Linked DNA regions of Drosophila melanogaster. The protein of the gene in region 2 binds, or shares a complex with, the protein of the main gene of each other region. Each region holds a gene or a part of one and is shown on either strand. Other genes may lie near its edges.

Region 1 (11,170 bases), on a different chromosome or scaffold from region 2:
ACTGCGATGTTGTCGTTGTTGTTGCTGCTGCTGCCTCTGTTGCTCTCAAGCATTCAACCAAAAATGCATGGCACACACACACACACACTCACCCACACTCGCTTGCACCTACCCAGAGCCAGCCTACCTATTCGAACGGGACACAGAAAGAGAGAGGGAGAGTAAGATGGTCAAAACACTATAAAAAAAATATTTGCATTTAAAAATTGGAAGAAATAAGTTACAAATAAGTTGCAAGTTATGCTTACGCTTTCATTTTTAATAATTGATTTAAAAAAAGCTTGTTTCTTGAGGCAAAAATATTTTAAAAATATATTAATTTTTTTTTAAATTTTGCTTTTAGTCTATTCAATTGACTACACCCATTATTTCTTCAAGTGTGGAAGTCGGAGCACACGTTGTAGTCTTACATGTACTTGTGTGCGAAAGCTCGCTTATTTATTTATGGTTTTTTTCGCATTCAACCACCAACAACAAGGAGCAGAATACCATATACATATACATATGTAAGTACATATAAATTTTGCTCGGCCCTGTGCGCATTTATTAAATATTATTGCTCTTGTTCTGCTCTCTACTTGACTTTTTTTATTGCCCATCAATGGCAAGTGGGCGGATAACTGTTCGGCCTGCCCCTCCCACTTTCCACCCGCCCCTCGCACTTTTTCTTCATCTTTATGATGCTGGTGTATATAATTGCTTCTGGTCTTGTGGTTGTTGCGATGCCCTTTGTTGTTGTCGCCGCCCTTGCAGCGTTTTATTAATTTTAATGGCTGCCACCAAATGAATAACGGTTAATCAATAAGTGGGTTTCGGCCATTTTGCTAAAGTCTCGACGGGAAGTGAACGAGAAAAACCCGGTTCAAATATATAAAATAATTACGTTTCTATGGTAAAAAGGAGTATTTACATAAGGAAATTGTAAATCTATGTGAATAAGCTTATAAAATATCGGTGTTGTTTAACTCGTAGCAGTTTTAGAATAGAGAATTAAAAATCTTACAATAATCAATTATAATAAACACAAATCATACCTAATTTTATTACTTATTAGAACACTTTATTATATAAGCTAAAATAAAATTTAACAAATTGAAAGAAGAAGCCATTCTCAACAATCTCGATCTTAAAATCCAGCCAGGATAGCATCGTACTCAGATCGAGATCGAACCATTCTCGGATTGCAATACCATTTCAGTTGAATATAATAGTAAATTAGTATTGTAGTAAGGTAAGGAATATTCCTTATATTAAAGGGTGTCCTTGAAAATCCGACCTCAAAGCCAAAATTCAACTTTGAATCAATATTTGCCAAGAGCTGGTCCACGATTAGGCCATAAATCAGTTGGCAATTACTGAGTGTTTACAACCCCCAACCCGCTTAATTAGATGCGCCCATGAAGCAGCTGCACCTGCAGCCGGAGAAGAACAATCGCATTTTGCACAGTTCCCAGGGACTGCACGCTGTAATCGCATTGCGGCATTGTCGCAACTTGCGGCACAAATAAACCACCCCGCCGCTTAGTAACTCTCGGATGGATGGCGGATGGGAGTCGGAGCCGGGATTCCCCGGCTAAGGCCATCATCAAGTGGCGCAAATTACAGATCAAACAGCCAGTTAGCCAGCCAGCCGGTCGGGGGGTGGAAGGACCTCGTTGTTTTGGGTGACCATTTGTCAAGAAGGATGACAACATTACGCTGGAAATTAAATAGCGTATTAAAAGGGTGACTTAATTTGTTTTTTGCCCAAACGAAGGACGCAGCCACTTGTCGCTCGACGAGATGAGCTGTGAACACGTGCTTGCTTTCCAATAAAATATATTTCTATATATTTTCAGCGAGATGCCAGTCGTTTTATAGGCCGCCCAGTCAGGTTATTGAAATTGTTGGCATTGTCAACCCCGCATTAAAGCGGCAATTACATGTATCTAATAAAGGATAACAGCGCTACTGACTTAAAAACCAAAGTGGATAAACCGGATCCGGAAGGGGGCTTAGATTTAAGTAGCTGATAATGACAAAGTTGACGCGTGACGGCCAATTGCACGGTATTTTAATAACAATCCGAACAATAAAAGTCAGTTTTAATCACCGGCAACGAGCTTACTTTGCAATTTGCATTAGAAATGGTGTATTATAGTACTTATGGCAACGTATTCCTTTTTTATTATTCCTTTTTTTTGTCATTATGTCATTATTATATTATTATACCATAAACTCAGCAAGTGGCAGTTTGAGGGAGATCGACCAAAAAGACGAAACTCTTTTCGAAGCCCCGCATCTAGCGTGGTTTAATGGGCGTGGCCATCTTCTCCTACTCAATCTTAATTTTCTTGCTTTTATAGATTCCAAGAGCTCGGCGTTCATATGGACAGCCGGAAAGACATACGGATTTGGCCATATCCACTGGGCTAATGATCCTGATCTAGAATATATCAACTTTACGGAGTCGGAAACGCTTCCTTCTGCCTGTTACATAGTTTTCAACGAATATAGTATACCATTTTACTCTACGTGTAACGGGTATAAAAAGGTAACAAATAGTTGCATAATTCTTTCTGAAATATATATGTATTAGGAAAGGCATAAAAGGATGCTCATTACTTTTAGTAAAATGTCTTATAGAGCAAATTGGTTTATATTTATTTTTTAACGTATCTAAACAAAAACTTTTTTAACATCATTTCTGATATCATTAACTATATCAACTCTATATATTTATACTACAACTATATACTATATACTATGTACAACTATATCACTGATATCAACTATAAGTTCTGGCCTGAACTCATACGCCAAATTTTACGTATCATATGTAAATCTATTAAAGCCCACAACATTAAACTTTACATTTAACTTAAATTTAACTTTGTATACAATTAAAAACTATAATATTCAGAATATTCGCCTTACTCTTGTCAAAATATTGCCATTTTCCAACCAACTTCCCACTAAAATCCGTCGTTCGCAAGGCAGCCCACAAATCAGCGCCGGAAAGAATGCTCCAAATTTCGCTCGAGCTGCTCCGACGCACACTAATAAGTTAATCAAACTAATTGCAGTGGAAAGGAGCAGCCACTTGCCGCAACTGGTTGGGGCGCGGGGTTGGGGGATAATGGAGGAAGGGGTAAATATCTCTGTTGCCAGTTGGCAGCTATAAATTCCGCACATGCCCCGCCCACCGCCCACTGGCCACACCACAAGCCCCTTCAAGCGAACGCACCCCATCCGAAAGAGCTAAGTAAGCTGTAAGCCATGAAAAGGGTTGTTGCTTCTGGTTCCGGCTCATCGTCTGCCGTCTGCTGTGGAATGCCGAAGGAACTGCTGCCTGCGCCGCGAGACGAGCATGTTAATTGCCCCCGAACCGACGTTGCCAGGTTCAGCAGGATGCGGCTGGCTGCCTGTGTTCCATGGCTTTTGGGCCAAGTCACAACTTGTGGCACAAAGTTCTTAAAAATTGACGCACGCTTTGTTTCCTTTTGCGTTTTAATTAAAAGTCCAATGCCAGTTGCAAGAAGGGATTGCGGAACGTTATGGTTATGACCATTGACCATTGGCCAGTTGAGCTTTGTTAAGCCATCTAAATTGGCTAAAGAGCTTGGACTCTTTGGCATCGCCGGTCACTTGGCAACAATCACTGCACTGAAGGGATGGGTGAAAAGATTTTACTCTTGCGTTACATGTGAGGCGGCTTTATTCATTAGTCAACTTTTCTCCTATCTTTCTATGTGGCAAAAAGAGGGAAAAACTTAAGGCGATAAACAATGAACAAAAAAGTTGTTGACCATAGCCAACATTTTCCTTTGATCCATAATTACAGGAATTTGTGAACTCTGTGTGCTTATATGCTTCGAGTTTAATTAAAGATACTTACCAAATCATTTGTATTACATATTAGTTAAAATGCCTTTCATAGATTTATTTTCATATTATGTTATTGGCTCGTTTTGAATATGATTTATATCTAATAATAAGCAAAAAATGCCATGAAATTATGAGCCCGTTTTTTTTTTTAAATCCATTCAACTATACATATGTATGAAATTAAATATATTTATTTATATAAAAACAATGATGTTATTAAAATTACTCTCAATCGAATCCTACTCATCTTCTCCCACTGAACCCTTTATGATTCCTTTACCATAATAAGCAGTGAGCGCAACCATTCGGGTGTCCAGATAGTTGTGCTCCACCTCGCACTGCTGCCCAACTCCACTTAGAGCGACCACCTGCTTCATATTGGCGTTGCGTGGCAGAAAGAAAGCTACGTCAGATGCCAGGCTACGGGACAGCTGCATCAGTTGGCTAGCACCCACGGGCAGGAGACCTGTTTCGATATCAAAGGTGGCCTGCTTTTGGTAGTCAGGACCACCCCACGGAGGGCTCAGGAAAACCACATTTGGGCGCAGCTTTGTGCTGGCCGCAAACTGCAGAAAATCGGCGTGGATAAACTCGATCTTATGGGCCACACCATAAATGCCGGCATTATGCTTGGCCATGGCCAACTTCTCGGCATCGATGTCCACAGCAATTACGCGTCCACAGGTGTTTGCAAACTGAATGGCATTGCCGCCGCATCCACAGAAAGCATCTACGATCACGTCGCAGGCCAGTCGTCGGGCCGTTTGTTTGGCAATCTTCTCGGGTGTCACCGAGAACCAGCTCTCGCGGTCCAGCCGAATGCCCTGATCGAAGCGGGAGAACAGCGAGAATCGCTTGACCCAGTACTTGACCATTTTGTTGTTATCCTCTTGCATGCACTCTGGCATCCTGGCCTTGAGTTTTTTTATTTGCCTTTGCCGTCGTTTTTTCTTTTTAACAGAACCGCTCTGAACGCCGTGCAGAGCCTCGTTTTCGTTGTTCTCCATGGTCAACAGATCATGATCGTCCTCGCTATCGCTGCTAGATAGTTCGTACTGTGTCTTTCTTTCCTTTCTATAATTAATTATATCTGCCTTCGACGCAAATGATGTTGGCAATCCGAGAAGGCGCAGCTGTTGTTCCTCGTCACAATCCTCGGGATCGTCGTTGGCAGTCAAGTATGATTCGTCCTCCTCTTTCTCTGTGACCCTTTGCTGTTTCGATTTTATTGGCTTATTTGTAAGGCTTAGGTTCTGCAAGTCCTCCTCAACATCTTCTGAGTTTTCAGCGACGTCAAGGCCAAATGATTTGGCCAAATCGTGTTGGTAGTTCTCAAAGGCACAGCTAAATATATACCAGAACTTTTCACTGTAATCGCTGGCGTGCTTCTCCCACAGTTCCTGCCAAAGGCCTTGCTCCTCCGACGAAACCACCTCGATAAGATCTTTGTATTCGGGAAACCGCTTGTGCCACTTTTGCTCGAGCAGCTCATGCCCCTCACGCTGCCAGAATTCTTTCCAGGTAACGTTTTGAATGCCCCCCCAATTGCAATTATTCCAGTCGAAATCGTTACCAAAGAGCTGACTGAATATATAGAACTGCGGATTGGTTCGCGAGGTGGTCAGGTGGTGTGTGTTCATTTCTCGATCAGACTTCTCATCTCCAGCCTGCGAGTCAGCAAGTCCTCGGCTCTGTCGATGACCTGGATGTACCATAAGTCGATGGCCGGTCTGTAGGTGGCAAGTAGCGCGCTGAGATACTGTTTTTGGGCCAACGGATCGTTGGACAGACTATTGATCTTGTCGTAGACACCGCCGGCGGTCAGTTTGGCACCTTTGGGATGCTGCACATTATGTAGCACCACTTCACCACGCACAATGCAGTAGCGGCCGGTACTCACGCGATTTTCGACGACTTTGTCATGGGTAAGGCCAAGAATAAGCAAGGATACGGTGCCCTCGCCCAAGGAGTACTTCCTGAAAGATGCAGCATCATTGGTAAGGACCGGATGGATAGGTAATATAGAAAAACTTACTTTGGCAAACACTTAACGCGCACGTTTTCTAGGCGGTACTGATTCGCCTTGAACGCCAGACGTCCAATTAATGCGCACTGACCGTAGTGCAGGTTGTGGTAGGAAGTTTCCAGCTCCAGTTCCTCCACCAGCAGGGTCTTGAAGAAGTAGCAGTACTTGGGCGCTCTCGAGGTAGAGGCTTCTGGCACCAGGGACATAACTCTCTTGGAAAAAAACCAAGAATTCCGAACAAAATCAAAACACCCGGAATGATAAACTCAACATGCTTGCTAGTGTGACCAACGTATCTACGCACGATGCGACCCACCTATCGATAGCTTCTTCGCCAGTTATAGCCCTGCCTTTCTCATCACTAAAAACAGCGACATTTTATTGTGCAAATTAGAATTTCTTAATATAAACTTTAACAAACTGAGCAGTTCTTAGCTCACTATGTCTTTTATGAACCCCGTGGATATGGTGGATGAGGACGCCGCCGACCTGCAGTTTCCCAAAGGTAACCAACGCCCTACACCAACCGAAATGCAACTTACAAGTGAAACTGGCTGAAACCTTTGGCTTCGAGTGCCCCAAAAGTGGCACTCCTCCACATTTTTACCACACTGAATTGCCTCTTTGCAGTTGAGCCACTGGGGCCACAGGTTAAGCGGTTCATCCATGCACATCAGAATGAACACACCAGGAACTCCATGGTTTTGTATAATCCGCACACGTTGCACAGGTACTTGGAGGAGATGGAGGAAAAGACGCGGGACCAGAATAGCAGTGTTCCATCGGCTACAAAGGATGCCAATCGGTGTGCCACATGTCGCTGCAGTCTCACAGAGCCGTACATTAAGTGCTCCGAGTGCCTCGACACCCTGCTCTGCCTGCAATGTTTCTCACGTGGAAAGGAGGCCTTTTCTCACCGCAATAACCACGCTTACATCATAGTCCGCGACAACATACAGGTTTTCGCCGATGAGCCACACTGGACGGCACGGGACGAGCGCATACTGCTGAAAACACTTCGCACCCACGGCTATGGCAACTGGGAGGCGGTCTCCCAGGCTCTGGACCAGCGCCACGAACCCGCAGAAGTGCGTCGTCACTACCACGATTGCTACTTTGGCGGGATATTCGAGCGGCTCCTTAATCTGAAGCATGCGAGGGACAGCTATGTGCCCGAGCGAATGCCGTATGTCTTCAAAATGCGCAGCTTGGATCCACCACGTCATGACGACATCGCCTCCATGCAGTTCAGACTAAGCGCAGGTTACCGCTGTGCAAGAGGAGACTTCGATACTCCGTACGACACCTCAGCAGAGAGTCTGCTATCTATTATGGTGGATCATAGGGGCAGGGATGACGACAACGAGGCGTCTGAGAGTGAGTTTGAGCGCGAAGTGACAGAGGAATTGCAACTCGGACTAGTTCGGGCATACAACAATCGCCTCAGGTATGATCTTATAACAGAAAGCTACTAAAAAAAATCTAATATGCATATTTACTCACAGAGAGCGCCAGCGTCGTTACAAGATAATGAGGCAACACGGTCTCATAATGCCCAATCGCACCGTCAGCTGGATTTCCAAGTACGTGCACGCCTTTGGCAGCGATGCGAGTTGCATGCGTTTCTTGGGCTTCATGCAGATCTGTCCTGACCCCATTAAGTTCGATATGCTGTTGGAGTCTCTGCGTTATTATCGGGAGCTGCATAGCCAGCTGCACAAGCTATACGATCTGCGGGAGCACGGCGTTCGAACTCTTTCCGGAGCCAAATTATATGCCCGCTTGAGCAAAGAACGTCAGCAGGCTCAGCGAGATTACAGCAGGCTGAAGCAAACAGATGCTTTCGACTGGCAGCAATTGGTGCAGCATTACGAGAGCAACAGGAGCGGTGATCCTGGTCCCCTGGCCATTAACTCAAAGTTATATGTGATGAACACGCGTCGAAAGGCCAGTCCCATTGAGATTGGAGGTGGGAAACACTTTACTCATTGCCTGACACCAACTGAATATAATTTTTCTTTGATCCCAGATCTGCCTGGTTACTCCAAACTGGATGATGGCGAGCGAAAGTTGTGCAGTGTGGCTCGTCTGGTTCCGCAGTCGTATTTGGACTACAAGAATCAACTCGTTACGGAGCAAGCAAAGCTCGGATATCTACGACTGGCCGATGCGCGACGTCTCATCAAAATTGACGTGAACAAAACGCGTCAGATCTACGATTTTCTGCTGGAACATGGCCATATCAGCAGACCACCGTCCTATGGCTAGGGCTAATTTTTTCTCCAATGTTTCACTTGTAAATTTCCTGAATGTCGTCAAGTAACTAATTCAAGAAAAAAAAACCCTTTCGTTTCTCTTTGTTTCAGAGTTCGAAAATGCCGAGACGCTGCTGATATCGGAGGTGCACATGCTTCTCGATCACCGAAAGCGACAAAACGAATCCGCCGACGAGGAGCAAGAGTTCTCCGAGGTCTTCATGAAGACGTACGCCTACACGGATAGTTTTCGAAAGTTCAAAAACAAGGAGACCATAATGTCTGCGCGAAGGTAATGTAGCAAAACCGAACAAAGCACGTACGAGTAGTAATATTCAATTATTTCAAATTCAGCTTGCTGATGCAGAAAAAGCTGCACAAATTCGAACTGGCGGCACTGGGTAATTTGTGTCCGGAGGCGCCCGAGGAGGCCAAGGCGCTGATTCCTTCACTAGAGGGTCGCTTCGAGGATGAGGAGCTGCGCCAAATACTCGACGATATCGGCACTAAACGCAGCTTACAATACTAATTACTACTACGTATAAATATAGTTTAGATATAAAGTCATGGTCCACTTACACAATAAAGTGAAGAACAGCAAGAATTTTAAGTAAATGCAGAATATACACTGTAACAAAAATCAACAAAGTCTAAATACAATGTAATTATATCAAACAAAAGATTTACTTAAAAAAAAGTATATATAAATTGAATTTGCCGCTTGAAAGAATTGTTTGTCTAGTGTTGCCAGACTGCTCACATGAAAGAACTTATCGAAATAGCCGTCACATCTGGCAACTTGCTGAAAGGCCCGCACTTGCAATTGTTTTCTTTTTCCTAATAATTGCAAGCGAACAATATTTCACAATGAACAAGGACAACTCCAGCATGAAAATGGATCCGCAGCTAGCCCTACGCCTCCTGGCTGATGGCGGAGTGCTGGTCATCGCCGGTGTACCCGAGGGCACGGAATTCGGCATTGATCTTTGTGCCTACACCATTGGTCCGGATTTCCGAGGCGTCAAGATGATTCCACCCGGAGTCCACTACGTATGGTGCTCCTCCCGTGGTCCCTACGGCGATGCAGCCCCTCGTGTTGGATTCGTGCACTTCTTCCATCCGAATGAGATTGTCGTACGAGAGTGGGACCACGAACTGGAGGAATTGCGCCCGCGGAGGATTGCCGAACCGGAAGTGGAGCGAGACCGAATACGCAAAAACCTAGCCCAACTGGAGCGCGTGCTGGCGCCGTACGACTATCGTTACGTGGTCCAGTGGAAGGAACTCACCGGCAGCGTGACGGAGTCTTGCGTGGATCGCTGCCGTCCGACAGAAGGAACCATCCGTACGAACATCGAACTGCAATCCTGCCCGGACGCAGATCGGCCGCGAGGTGGAGCCGCTACTGTCAGCATAAGCCGCCGGAATGCTGCAGCTCGGATTCTCTTAGATGAGAGCGAACTCCTACCGGACCTTAAGCCCGTGGAAGGAACAGCTCCGCGCTTCACTACCGTACCCCTGCGTGTTCCACAAGATGCCCTGCCCGCTGATGTTTCCCGCCATGCCTTGGACTGCATCGATGCTGTTGACAAACTGCTCGAAGGCTTTGAAACGGCCGATGGACTCATTGAGGAACTGCAGCTGGCTTACGCATTTTTCCTAGTGGGCTACTCTGTGGAGTCTCTGGCCCACTGGCGCAAGCTTTTGGGCTTGCTGGCTCACTCGCAAACGGCGGTCACCAAGCACAAGTTAACGTACATGAAATACAGCGAGGTTTTGGCCCACCAGCTGCCCCATCTGCCCGAGGAGCTGATGGTGCCTGGTCCGCATAACACCGTCTACAAAGATGTACGCGAACTGCTGGTCAATCTGCATGCGGGCGGCTTAAGTGTCAGCGCTGAGCGGCTAACTAAGCGGCTGGAGAAAAAATTGGGATGGGAATTCGAGGGCCTGCTAGACGAGGATCCCGAGGACCAGCCTGTAGTCATCGAACTTCCGGAAGCCTAGGAGAAGGGCGCTACGCATGTGAAGTGTAATTCATATATTTGTAATACAATGGACTGAAACTGATCTATATTGATTTCTACTTTAACGCAGCGAATGCTGGGTGCGCAAGTAATTCCACAGATCCCGAGCCGTGCGGATGCTGACCATGAATTGGCACAACTTGGTCTCGATCAGGCAGAGAATCAAGAACTTGGCCCGCTTGTCCTTTAGCAGGGACTGCAAGGAGTATGGCATGGACATGGGTTTTCTGTAGCCATAAACGGCGCCACACCATCACTCACCTCCTCGTTGTTCTCGGGACCATTCTCCACCACCGTCCAGAGTTCCTCCGACTCCAGATACGCCCGCACCGTCATCGACCAGGCCTTGTAGTTGTCCAAACCTTTGAGCTTCTCAATTTGCAGCTGCAGTGCCATCTCCGAGACTCGAGCAACGTTTCGCAACTAAACCGCATTCGGGCCCTTTGCTGTTTCCTTACCTTCGCCTCTTCCAGCTGTTGTCCAGATTTTTAAATATAGATATCTTAGTATTTGTATCTGTATGCACACGGCTTTTCCATTGTGCACATCAGCAAACTGAAAACAATGGCCACTAGACCCACTTTTCGTGTTGCTTCTGGCCCAGCTATACATTCAGCTTAAGTGGACACTTCTGATTTGACGCAGAAGCGCTGTCGCTTTATGTGCCTGCCTGCTTGTATTTTCCGATGACCACAGAATTTAGTTTGACATATATTTCTTCTGAGCAGCAGCAGTGCGCCTTCTAAGCTCGCATCTTTTGGATGCATTGACAGGTACGAATCTTCATTTTCTGTGGCTAAGTCTTGGTTAATAATTAAAAACTGAATGTGGGATTGATCTCGATTCGAAGCTATGCTTGATTAGCAAATGATAATGATAGAAGAAAATGTGTTTGAAAATCTTTATTGAAAACTTCATTTAAAAACTATGTAAAATTTCTCTATCATACTGAACGCGTGAAATCAAGAAAGATGCATGATTGAAAGGATCACTTA
Region 2 (10,372 bases):
CGTCAGCGACCAGGAGCTGGAGCAGCAGGTGGCCAAGATCATAAAGGACAACAATATCGATGTGACGACCAGTTCCCAGGTGTTTGTGGGCATGGACAACAGATACCACAGTCCGCGGCTGCTGAAAGCGGTGGCCGATGGCGTGATAGCGCTAAAGGGTAACGTCAAGGAGTACGGCATTGTGACCACACCCATGCTGCACTACTTCGTGGTGGCGGCGAATACCAAGGAGGCATACGGCAAGCCCACCGAGGAGGGTTACTACGACAAGCTGATCAAGGCATTCGAACTGCTGCGCAACGGGCGCCTGGAGAACGGCAACTATCGCAATAGCATCATCTACGATGGTGCCAACGGTGTGGGTGCGCGCAAGATGCTGCAGTTCATCAAGCGCATGAAGGGCACCCTCAACGTGACGGTCATTAATCAGGGCATCGGTGTCGGCAAGATCAACGAGGACTGCGGCGCCGACTACGTGAAGGTGCAGCAAAGTCCGCCGAAATCCATGCCCGAGGATGTGAAGCCGTACACGAGATGCGTCAGCGTGGATGGCGATGCCGATCGGGTGGTGTACTTCTTTACCGACGACAAGGGTGAGTTCCATCTGCTCGATGGCGATCGCATAGCCACCCTAATCGCCGGCTATCTCATGGAACTGGTCACACAATCCGAGATTAGCCTACGGCTGGGCCTGGTGCAAACTGCCTACGCCAATGGTGCATCCACGGACTACATAGTGGACCAGCTGAAGTTTCCCGTTTCGTGCGTACCCACGGGCGTGAAGCACCTGCACCACAAGGCCTTGGAGTACGACATTGGTGTTTACTTCGAGGCGAATGGCCACGGAACGATTGTGTTCAGTGACAATGCTAAGGCGACGATTGCCCAGGTGGCCCAAACTAAGGAGAGTGCCAAGACGTTGCTGCTGCTCATCGATCTTATCAACGAGACCGTGGGCGATGCCATATCCGACATGCTGCTGGTGGAAACAATCCTAAATCACAAGGGCTGGGATGTCCAGGATTGGATCTCGTCGTACAACGATCTGCCCAACCGACAGCTAAAGGTGAAGGTGCAGGATCGCAATGTCATCGAGACGACGGATGCGGAACGCGTGTGCGTAAAGCCCGAAGGTCTGCAGACGGAAATCAACCAGGTGGTGGCGAAATACAAGCGGGGACGCTCCTTCGTTCGCCCCTCGGGCACCGAGGATGTGGTGCGCGTCTATGCCGAAGCAGCCACCAAAGAGGTAAGGCTTATAAGTTAACTCTTAGCACTAGATCAAAACACTCTACTTACTATCTTTTTTTTACGACAGGACACCGATAATCTTGCCTACGAAGTGGGTCTGCTGGTCCAGAAACTGGCCGGCGGAGTTGGCCCCCCATTGACGAAGCCCAACAGCAGTGCCCACCTGTAGAGCGGAATGACGAACTAACCTCTCACGGGAATCGACAATTGACACAGATCCTGGATGGAGCAATAAATCTCTTTACTCTAAGGTGCTCAATAACTTAAAAAAAAAACAACTTAACTCTCAAACGCATTTATTCTGCAAATGTTCACTGTCTTTTGTGTTCTAAAGATGACATATTTTTTGCCATTATTTATAAAGTTCTTTTCAAGTTTATTTATACATATGTACATTGTGAAAGTTGCAATTTTATGTCCTTCGCTATTTTGTAATTGAAGAATTTAATGAAAATGCAACCGCTACGTTGATTTTTTTGTTGAGCTGCTAGCGGTAACTATTGAAATTATAAAAGAATTGATAGTAGAGATTAATGAACCTAATCAAGTTTGTATTGCTATTTTCTATAAAAGTATTTTTTAAACAATCTAAAGATCCTTTTACTTTAGGTCGAATATAAATCAGTTTTCACTTCATTTGGAATTTACTATGCTGTACGCACAATTTATGGCAAATTTAAATCACTGTCCCGGCAAATAAATTAAAATTTTGCCAACTTTTATTTTTAAACTTAACATTTTAATAAATGTTAATGGAGCTGGCAGAATTGAAACGCGCCATCTGGCGGTCAGTAGCGGAGACATGTAGGACAGTAATTGATAAGGACTACTGTTAACTGTTACAATGTAAGCAAATACTTCAAAACTGTTATACTTGTGTTAATTAAAGCATACGTTCAAAAGTCGAGTTGAGTTATTGAATGTTAACTGTTCGTAGTTCGAAAGTTATCTAATTTAGCTAACTAATTTAGCAATTGTTTATAAAAAAGTTTTACTTGAATATTATTAATACTCGGTATATCTATGCAAATGGTATTAAAAGTATATTTTCGCATGCCGGATGGTTTACTCGTCTAAAACTCAGCCGGTCACACCGTCTGATTGCCGTGCTGTCACTTTGGCTGATGCAATTGCAGTTTTTTTAGTTAAAACAAAATTAGTTTCCAGTCAACTAGTATTCAAACAGCCCAGACACAATGGACGCGGAAGACGTAAGTTCCCGGAACACCGGCTAGTGCGTTTCATACGCGGAAAACTTGCGTGGAAAATTCGCATATTATCGTACATGTGCGCCCTTGTTTGCGTATGTGTATGTGTGTATTTACACATTTGTGTATGAGAACTGGGCGAACATTGAGGTTATGTTTGCTTGATCCGGATTTAAACCATATTGAAATTCCAATGATTTTCGCAGGGTTTTGATCCCACTTTGCTGAAAAAGAAGAAGAAGAAGAAGACCACGTTCGATCTGGACGCGGCATTGGGTCTGGAGGATGACACCAAGAAGGAGGATCCCCAGGATGAGGCATCGGCGGAAGGAGGTGCCGCCGCCGAGGAGGATAATCTAGATCTGGAGAGTTTCGGCAAGAAGAAGAAAAAGAAGAAGAAGCCCTTCAACATGGACGAAATCGAAGCGGCCATACCCAGCTTTGGCGGCGATGATGTGGCCGCCAGCGAGGAGCCCGAGGAGGAGGAGATCAATCTGGACATGGACTTCTCGATGGCCAAAAAGAAGAAGAAGAGCAAGAAGAAGGAACTGGACGAGCTGTTTGCGGACCAAGCGGACGACGACAAGAGCGAAGACAAAGAGAACGGTACGGTGACGAATTGCAGAGCAGCCAGGGAAGCTTAGGGTTATAGAATCATCCCAACCAAGATTGGCAGCCATATAAGCTTGTTGTCACTTGACAAAGGCAAAGCTATACGATTCTTAAAGTGTATAACTTGGCTTTCGCCTTTTCCGAAGCATTAAAACTCAGTGTATGAAGTGAACTAGAAATGCTTAGCCAGTGAGTTAGCATGTAGCTGTTCCAACTTTAAATAGACTCCAGATTTCAAAGCTCTCACTTAGCAAATAAGCTTATACCATACCCTTTTAAATAACGTTTTCATCCGTTTACAGACGAGGACAACAGCTCAACCTGGTTTGGCTCCGACCGCGATTACACATACGACGAGTTGCTGAAGCGGGTCTTCGAAATCATTCTCGACAAGAATCCGGACATGGCCGCCGGCCGAAAGCCAAAGTTCGTGATGCGACCGCCGCAGGTGCTGCGCGTGGGAACCAAGAAGACCTCCTTTGCCAACTTCATGGACATTGCGAAAACGCTGCATCGCCTGCCCAAGCATCTGCTCGATTTCCTGCTGGCCGAGTTGGGTACCAGTGGCTCCATGGACGGCAACCAGCAGCTGATCATCAAGGGCCGTTTCCAGCCCAAACAGATCGAGAATGTGCTGCGTCGCTACATCAAGGAGTACGTCACCTGTCACACCTGCCGCTCCCCGGAAACGATATTGCAGAAGGACACGCGTCTCTTCTTCCTGCAGTGCGAATCCTGTGGCTCCCGCTGCTCGGTGGCCAGCATTAAGTCAGGTTTCCAGGCTGTCACCGGCAAACGTGCCGCCATACGAGCAAAAACAACCTAAATTCTCCTTATTTAAAACTTTTTGAATTTTTATTACCAGTAAAATTTCAATACAAAAAACCAACGATACTATTTATTTGTTGTATTCTGCATTGTTTTATGCCTTCGTTGCCAGTCGGTTAGGTAGTCTACGAAGCCAATTTCCATATTCCGCGATCGGCCGCTGTCTATGAAGAACTGAAAAGCGTCCAGACCCATCTTGCCGCGGAACCTATTCGGACGACCGCGCAGGAATAGGCTGTGGCCCCTCGAGATGCGCGTGGGATCAATGTACTCCATGGAGACCTGCAGCAGCCGCATCATGCTCACGGCAATGCTCTTGTAGGCCTCGGACGAGGCCAGCGAACTGGCTTCACTGTACAGGCTGCTGATCACGCGTCCATTGAAGGGTTTTTTGGTGATGCTGGCCTCCAGGGAGCCGGTGCCATCATCGATCATGAACTTCATGAACGACTCGTTGTGCGTTCCATTGCCAGTTACAAAGGCGTAGATGATGCAGGTGCAGAAGTGAATCGGATGCACGTCGTCTGTGATGAACACATTCTCGTTCTCCGGATCCTGAGTTGCGCGCTCAATCTGGGATATGGTCAGCGGCACGTTGTCGTGGACCTCCGGACCACATTTGCCCGTGGACTTTTCACTCTGTTGATTCTTGCGTATCACGAAGTTATCCAGCTGGCTTTCTATGTCCTCGAAACTCTGATTAAAATCCATTCTATTTGCTTAGTCTGCGATTTCAAAGGGGATTTCTTTATTGCAGTGCATTTTGCATTAGCGCCAAAAAAAAAAACAGTTGTGAGCATGGGCGTAGACTTCGTATTTTCTTACAAATAATATTAATTAAAATTAATTTTGTGAGCAATTTTCACACAATTGTATTATAAGTTAAAACCAGGGTCACATTAATTTGCAGAACCGCGCAATATTTTCTTTTTAACCCCCTTACAAATTTTCAGTTGTTTTGACTACGCCCCTGCTAATTTTTACTTATTAAATTCAAAGTCTAAAAACATTGTCACCAGATAATACGAGTATACACTATATGGACAAACGTAAAATCGTTAATAGAATATATATATTCAACCATTATTTCACCACCGAGAGAAATTCATTTGCACAAAACGCCAGGTTGGCAGCACCATCATTGCGCACAGCAAGTGGGCAAACTCGTTGTATCGCTTGTGAAATTTAAGGAAAAGTACACTTTGTTCAAAACTAACGAAGAGAATCGCAATATCTGCCGATCTTGGAATGTCTGGTGGTCCATCCATAACGATAAAAAGCCAACCAATCGATGGTAACAACACGGGCAACGCTGCGGCGCAACAGCAGCAGCAGGCAGCGAATGGCGCAGCAACCGCTGGTGCATCTGGAGCCGCTGGCAGCGCCCAGAATCCAGGACACGGAGGAGCTGCGTCCGGCGCTGGCAGTGTGCCGGCAGAGGGAACGCGCCAGAACAGCCTACAGCGCATTCAGCAGCGAAAGCAAAAGGTCTTCAATCTGCCCGTGCCACAGAAACTGGCCAAATTGTCGATGTATTCCGCCTGCCAGTCTGAGGGATGCCGTTGCACCGGCTGGAAGACACCGCAGGAAAATCGCCACCGTGACGTCGAGTCCTCCTACTGTCCGGAGTTCAACGAGGAGTGCCGCAACACCAGCTGTCGCCATTCGCTGAGATCGCACATAGCCCATCTGGACAATATATCCAGTTCCAGCATGAACGAGCTACTGGGCGCCATTATAGACATGGAGAACCTATTCATGTCCATGCAGCGCGTCGAGGACGAGGACACCAAGAAGGTGTACCAGTACCTCTTCCGTTTGCTGCGCCAGTGCGTCCTCACGCGCCAGCAGGCGGTCATCCGGGGTCCTCTCGGCGATCCACCATTCGAGACGCCGTGCATCACCAAGGCTGTGCTCTCGTTGGTCTTCTACAAGTACAATCACCTGAGCACGCCTGAACTCCAAACCATGACCGAGGTGGCCAAGACGTTCTTGAACTTTCTGAACCACTACAACTTTGAATCGCCGTCGACCAGGAGAGGAGATCTCACCCACGAGGATGCCTCTAACTACAAAATCAACTACACCAGGTGGTTGGTGTTCTGCCACGTGCCCGCCTTCTGTAACTCCCTGCGCCAATGTGAAACGTCCCTAGTGTTTGGACGAACGCTCCTGCGCACCGTTTTCCAGTGCATGTCGCAGCAGCTGAAAAAGAAGTGCATCTCCGAGCGGGATCGCTTTCCCGAGGACAAGCGTTCGATCATCACGCTGATGCCGAAGTTTTTGGAAACGCTTCGCGCCGAATTGCTCAAGGATGATTCGCCCATCTGGGATACCAGCTACCGCCCGTCAAATTCCTTTGTCATCCAGCAGAGAAAGCGTAACCAGGAGGTGGCAAATGTACCCATTGGTCCCAGTGCAGCAAGCATTGGTGGAAACAAGAGGACCAGTGTGGGTGAACCGCTCCACAAGCGAATCAAAAAGGAGCCCACCGATCGTCCAAGCAGGTTGGTAATCAGTTTTTTCTTCTTTCAATACATTTACTAATCGTCCTGCCGCAGTGAGAATTTGGATGACCTGCCTGCGGATGTAGTAATGCGCGCCATGAAATCGGTGTCCGAGTCGAAGACCACCAACAAAGCGGAAATTCTCTTTCCGGTTAATGTGTCGCGGGATGAGAACGTCAAGGCGGAGGAGCAGAAGCGAGCCATTGAGTTCCATGTGGTGGGCAATTCGCTGACCAAACCGGTGGACAAGCAGACTGTTTTGTGGCTACTGGGCCTGCAGCTCGTATTTGCCTATCAGCTACCCGAGATGCCGCGCGAGTACATCAGCCAGTTGGTTTTCGACACCAAGCACAAAACACTGGCGCTCATCAAGGAAAACCAACCCATCGGCGGCATCTGTTTCCGCCCGTTTCCGTCGCAAGGCTTCACCGAGATCGTTTTCTGCGCGGTCACCATGTCGGAACAAGTTAAGGGCTATGGCACGCACTTGATGAACCACTTGAAGGACTACAGCATACAGAGGGGTATCAAGCATCTGCTCACATTCGCCGATTGCGATGCCATCGGGTACTTCAAGAAGCAGGGTTTCTCCAAGGACATCAAATTGGCGCGACCAGTTTATGCGGGCTACATCAAGGAGTACGATAGTGCTACTCTCATGCACTGCGAGCTGCATCCAAGCATTGTGAACACGCAGTTCATAGCTGGTTAGTCAAAGAATGGACAAGGAATCCATGGTCCCATTTTACACTCCAATTCTTCCTTTCAGTAATTCGCAGTCAGAGCGAGATTCTGAAGGAGCTGATCGCACAGCGCCACAACGAGGTGCAGAAAGTAAGACCCGGCTTGACTTGCTTCAAGGAGGGCCTGCCCGTGATTCCCGTGGAATCGATTCCTGGTCTGCGGGAGATCGGTTGGAAGCCGCAAAATCGTCCGGCGCGCTCATCGCGACCCCTCGAGGAATCCACCGATCCGGAGAAGCTGGCCACGTCCTTTGCATCCGTGCTGCAATCCGTGCGCCAGCACACCACCGCCTGGCCCTTCCTGCGCCCGGTGACCGCGGCCGAAGTTCCGGACTACTACGATCACATTAAATATCCCATGGACCTGAAGACCATGGGCGAGCGCCTGAAGAAGGGTTACTACCAAACGCGCCGCCTGTTCATGGCGGACATGGCGCGCATTTTCTCCAACTGTCGGTTCTACAATTCGCCCGACACCGAGTATTATCGGTGTGCCAACTCCCTGGAGCGCTACTTCCAGACCAAGATGCGCGAGCTGGGGCTGTGGGACAAATGATGCAGTGATTCCGAGGAGCCCTGCATAAGGCCGAACATTTAATCGAACTAAATTATTATATTAATTCTATTTATTTTTAGAATTCTCCCCAGCTAAAGAAAAACCCATATAGTTAGTTTGTCGTTATAGATACTTAGGTTAAGCTCAGTGTGTCCGTCTTGTTCACAGACGCGTTGTGTCTTTGGGAAGAATAAATCAGATCTATCGCCTACTCATTAACCACGAATCCACCCACTCTCCCTTCATCCAGTGGACAAAACCAATGCTGGTCAAATGATGTGTAACCACTACGTTTTTGTCTTAACTCTTTATTTCACTTTTGATTTCCTACATTCATTGTTTCGCATGCTTTTAAAGTTAGAGTTCTTCTCATTTGTTTTTATTTTGGTTTAGTAAATAATTTCAGTTATAAAATTATATCTTAGGGGCGGGAGTTTAATCGAATCTCTAGGACATTGTACAAAGGCTCATGCATACATAAATACGTGGCTCCACATCTGCGTTTCATCCTTTCCAAGGCTGCACCGGAAATGGCAAAGGATATCGTGGATATGCCGATGGTACAATGAAAATGTTAACCGTAGTTGCTTACTGCTTGAATTCAATTATCCTTTATTACATGGTATATTTAGTTTTTAATTTCCATACGTGGTAGTCTTTACAATTTAGCCATTACTTGCGAAACGTGCTTTCTTTTCAGTGTTCAACTCGATAATTGCGTATTTATATACAAACATACATATGTGGAGCTAATCAGAGTGAGCATATATGGAGATATACATATTACATACAATTAGATACATAATTTATGATTACATAATATTGAAATGTTTGTGGTGACTCCGCCAGCTCATCCTCATCCTCATCCCTCTTCTCTCTGCCAGCGTGTTAACTGGCCAAACTGGACTGGGCTTGTGCTGAATACAAATATATATCTGGATACAAGGATAACAAACAAATATCTAAAGGGATTCAGCTGGAGATACGCGTACTTTACTCGCTTTTGAAGGCCTCGATTTCAAGCGCAGCAGCCAGTGAATCACACAATCAATCTTAACATTTACATTGAGAACATCATCACCATAGGTATCGTATCTTTTCAAATCGATTCGAATCGTAAGTATAATTTCCCTTGCCCAACCGAGATCAGAGAAAATAAACTGTACGAAAACCGAAAATTTGGGCTTTTCTTTTTGGACAAATTTGCTAATGATTGGTTGTTTTCTTTTTTTTTTTTTGTTGGGGTTTTTTCGTTTAACATTTTCATTCGGGAGACTTCATTCATTCATTGCAGCTGAGCTGGATTGACTTTTTACAATTGTGCTTTTGATAGAAGCGCGTAGCTGCCGATTTTATTTTCTTTTTTTCATGTTTAAAATGCTCTTAAATAATAGTTGTTTTAAATGCTAGTAAAACGGGTCGAGCGTTTGTCGATGTTTTACGCCCACAAGAAATACAATATTACAATCGATTTGTTACTCTTTCATTCAAATAAAAACGTATTAAGTTAGCTTTTATTTTAGATTTGGGAATTCCATGGATTTAATTGGTTTACTCCATTAATTTCATTATTGTTGTTATCGGCTCCTCCGCCAAATCTCCTTGCTCCTCTCCTTGCTAAATGGTTGCTTTCGTTTTGTTTTGTTTTTTGTAGCTTTTCATACTTATGCTTAACTATGTTCTTACTAAATATATGTATGTATGCTGGCGTGCCATTATCTGCTCCTTCTTATCAATGCCGTGCTTTTTGCTCAGCGCAAGGCGTTGGAACCAGCCATTTACACAAAGCCTAACACATGGCCGGTTCGGTTCGGTTCGGTTCGGTTCACATTCACATTCACATTCGCGCTAGTCGCTAATCATTAATCGAATCGTAGAGCGCTTATCATCGCCAAGCACACGGTGGTGGTGGGCGGGCAGCAGCGGAGTGCGCCCCAGGACGTCGTGAGAATTGTAACACTAATTTAATTATACAAATATATTATGCCGCTGGATCCATAACTCGAAATTCCTGATAATAAGAGCCTGTGTGTCGTCGATCGTTCGGGTCACTTGATTGGTTTGCTTCGAATAATTAGCTTTGCAATGAATAGGATATTTACTTTACGCTCTTCTCAATTCGCATCTATCAATTTGTGGTTTGTTGGTTGTGGTTGGTGTATATTTAAAGTGGCTTTCCACTGGCCGGGCGGCACTATTGTGCTGCAAAAGTAAACAGACACACATGTAAACAAACATGTTGCAAATGAAGTGCTTAGATGTAATTGCTACTCACAAACTGCCGCCACCTGTTGCGTCTGCTCTGGCAAGAGGGACGTCGACTTTGTCGTCGCGGTTGTGGCATTTGGTGCACTGGAGTCCGTGGCATTGGATCCGTGGCCAGCAGCATTGTTGGCCGCCTTCAGCGCAGCAGCCGTGTTGCCATTGGTGATGTTTGGCATTCCGTTTCCGCCACGACCGCCGCCGTTGTTGCGATTGTTGCTCCTGTTTCGGAAGTTTCCGCCGCCGCCACCCATGCGATAATTGTTCCTGTTGTAGCCTGGCGCTCCTCCATATCCCGAGTTAATGCCGCCGTTGCCATTATTGTTGTAGTATTGGTTGCGTCCGCGGTAACTGCTTGGAATACATTCAGTTGATGAGCCACACTGCATTTGCTTGATTGCTTCG

What was found.
Region 1: ver (region 2) and moi share a complex: the UniProt entries of both Drosophila melanogaster proteins name them as parts of the MTV complex.

The regions. Positions count from the first base shown.
Region 1 is NT_033777.3:18,250,545-18,261,714, reverse strand, and holds moi (modigliani), read right to left. Parts: upstream 6,186-11,170; 5' UTR 6,100-6,185; coding exon 5,903-6,099; intron 5,844-5,902; coding exon 5,504-5,843; coding exon of another isoform or gene 4,107-5,503; 3' UTR 4,038-4,106; downstream 1-4,037. Other genes in the region: Tgs1 (trimethylguanosine synthase 1), read right to left, coding at 4,107-5,507; Ada2a (transcriptional adaptor 2a), read left to right, coding at 6,335-6,398, 6,479-7,340, 7,399-8,161; Polr2D (RNA polymerase II subunit D), read left to right, coding at 6,335-6,398, 8,260-8,440, 8,503-8,677; CG12320 (uncharacterized protein), read left to right, coding at 9,016-10,155; CG18598 (uncharacterized protein), read right to left, coding at 10,237-10,371, 10,437-10,571. UniProt on the Drosophila melanogaster protein: Part of the MTV complex that associates with the HipHop-HOAP complex to form the terminin telomere-capping complex involved in telomere maintenance and prevention of telomere fusion. Potentially functions downstream of mei-41/ATR.
Region 2 is NT_037436.4:12,518,679-12,529,050, reverse strand, and holds ver (verrocchio), read right to left. Parts: upstream 5,065-10,372; 5' UTR 4,981-5,064; intron 4,625-4,980; 5' UTR 4,611-4,624; coding exon 3,966-4,610; 3' UTR 3,901-3,965; downstream 1-3,900. Other genes in the region: nst (nesthocker), read left to right, coding at 1-1,249, 1,319-1,420; eIF2beta (eukaryotic translation initiation factor 2 subunit beta), read left to right, coding at 2,448-2,462, 2,666-3,065, 3,374-3,897; Gcn5 acetyltransferase, read left to right, coding at 5,148-6,406, 6,461-7,113, 7,176-7,705; tral (trailer hitch), read right to left, coding at 9,900-9,907, 9,981-10,321. UniProt on the Drosophila melanogaster protein: Part of the MTV complex that associates with the HipHop-HOAP complex to form the terminin telomere-capping complex involved in telomere maintenance and prevention of telomere fusion.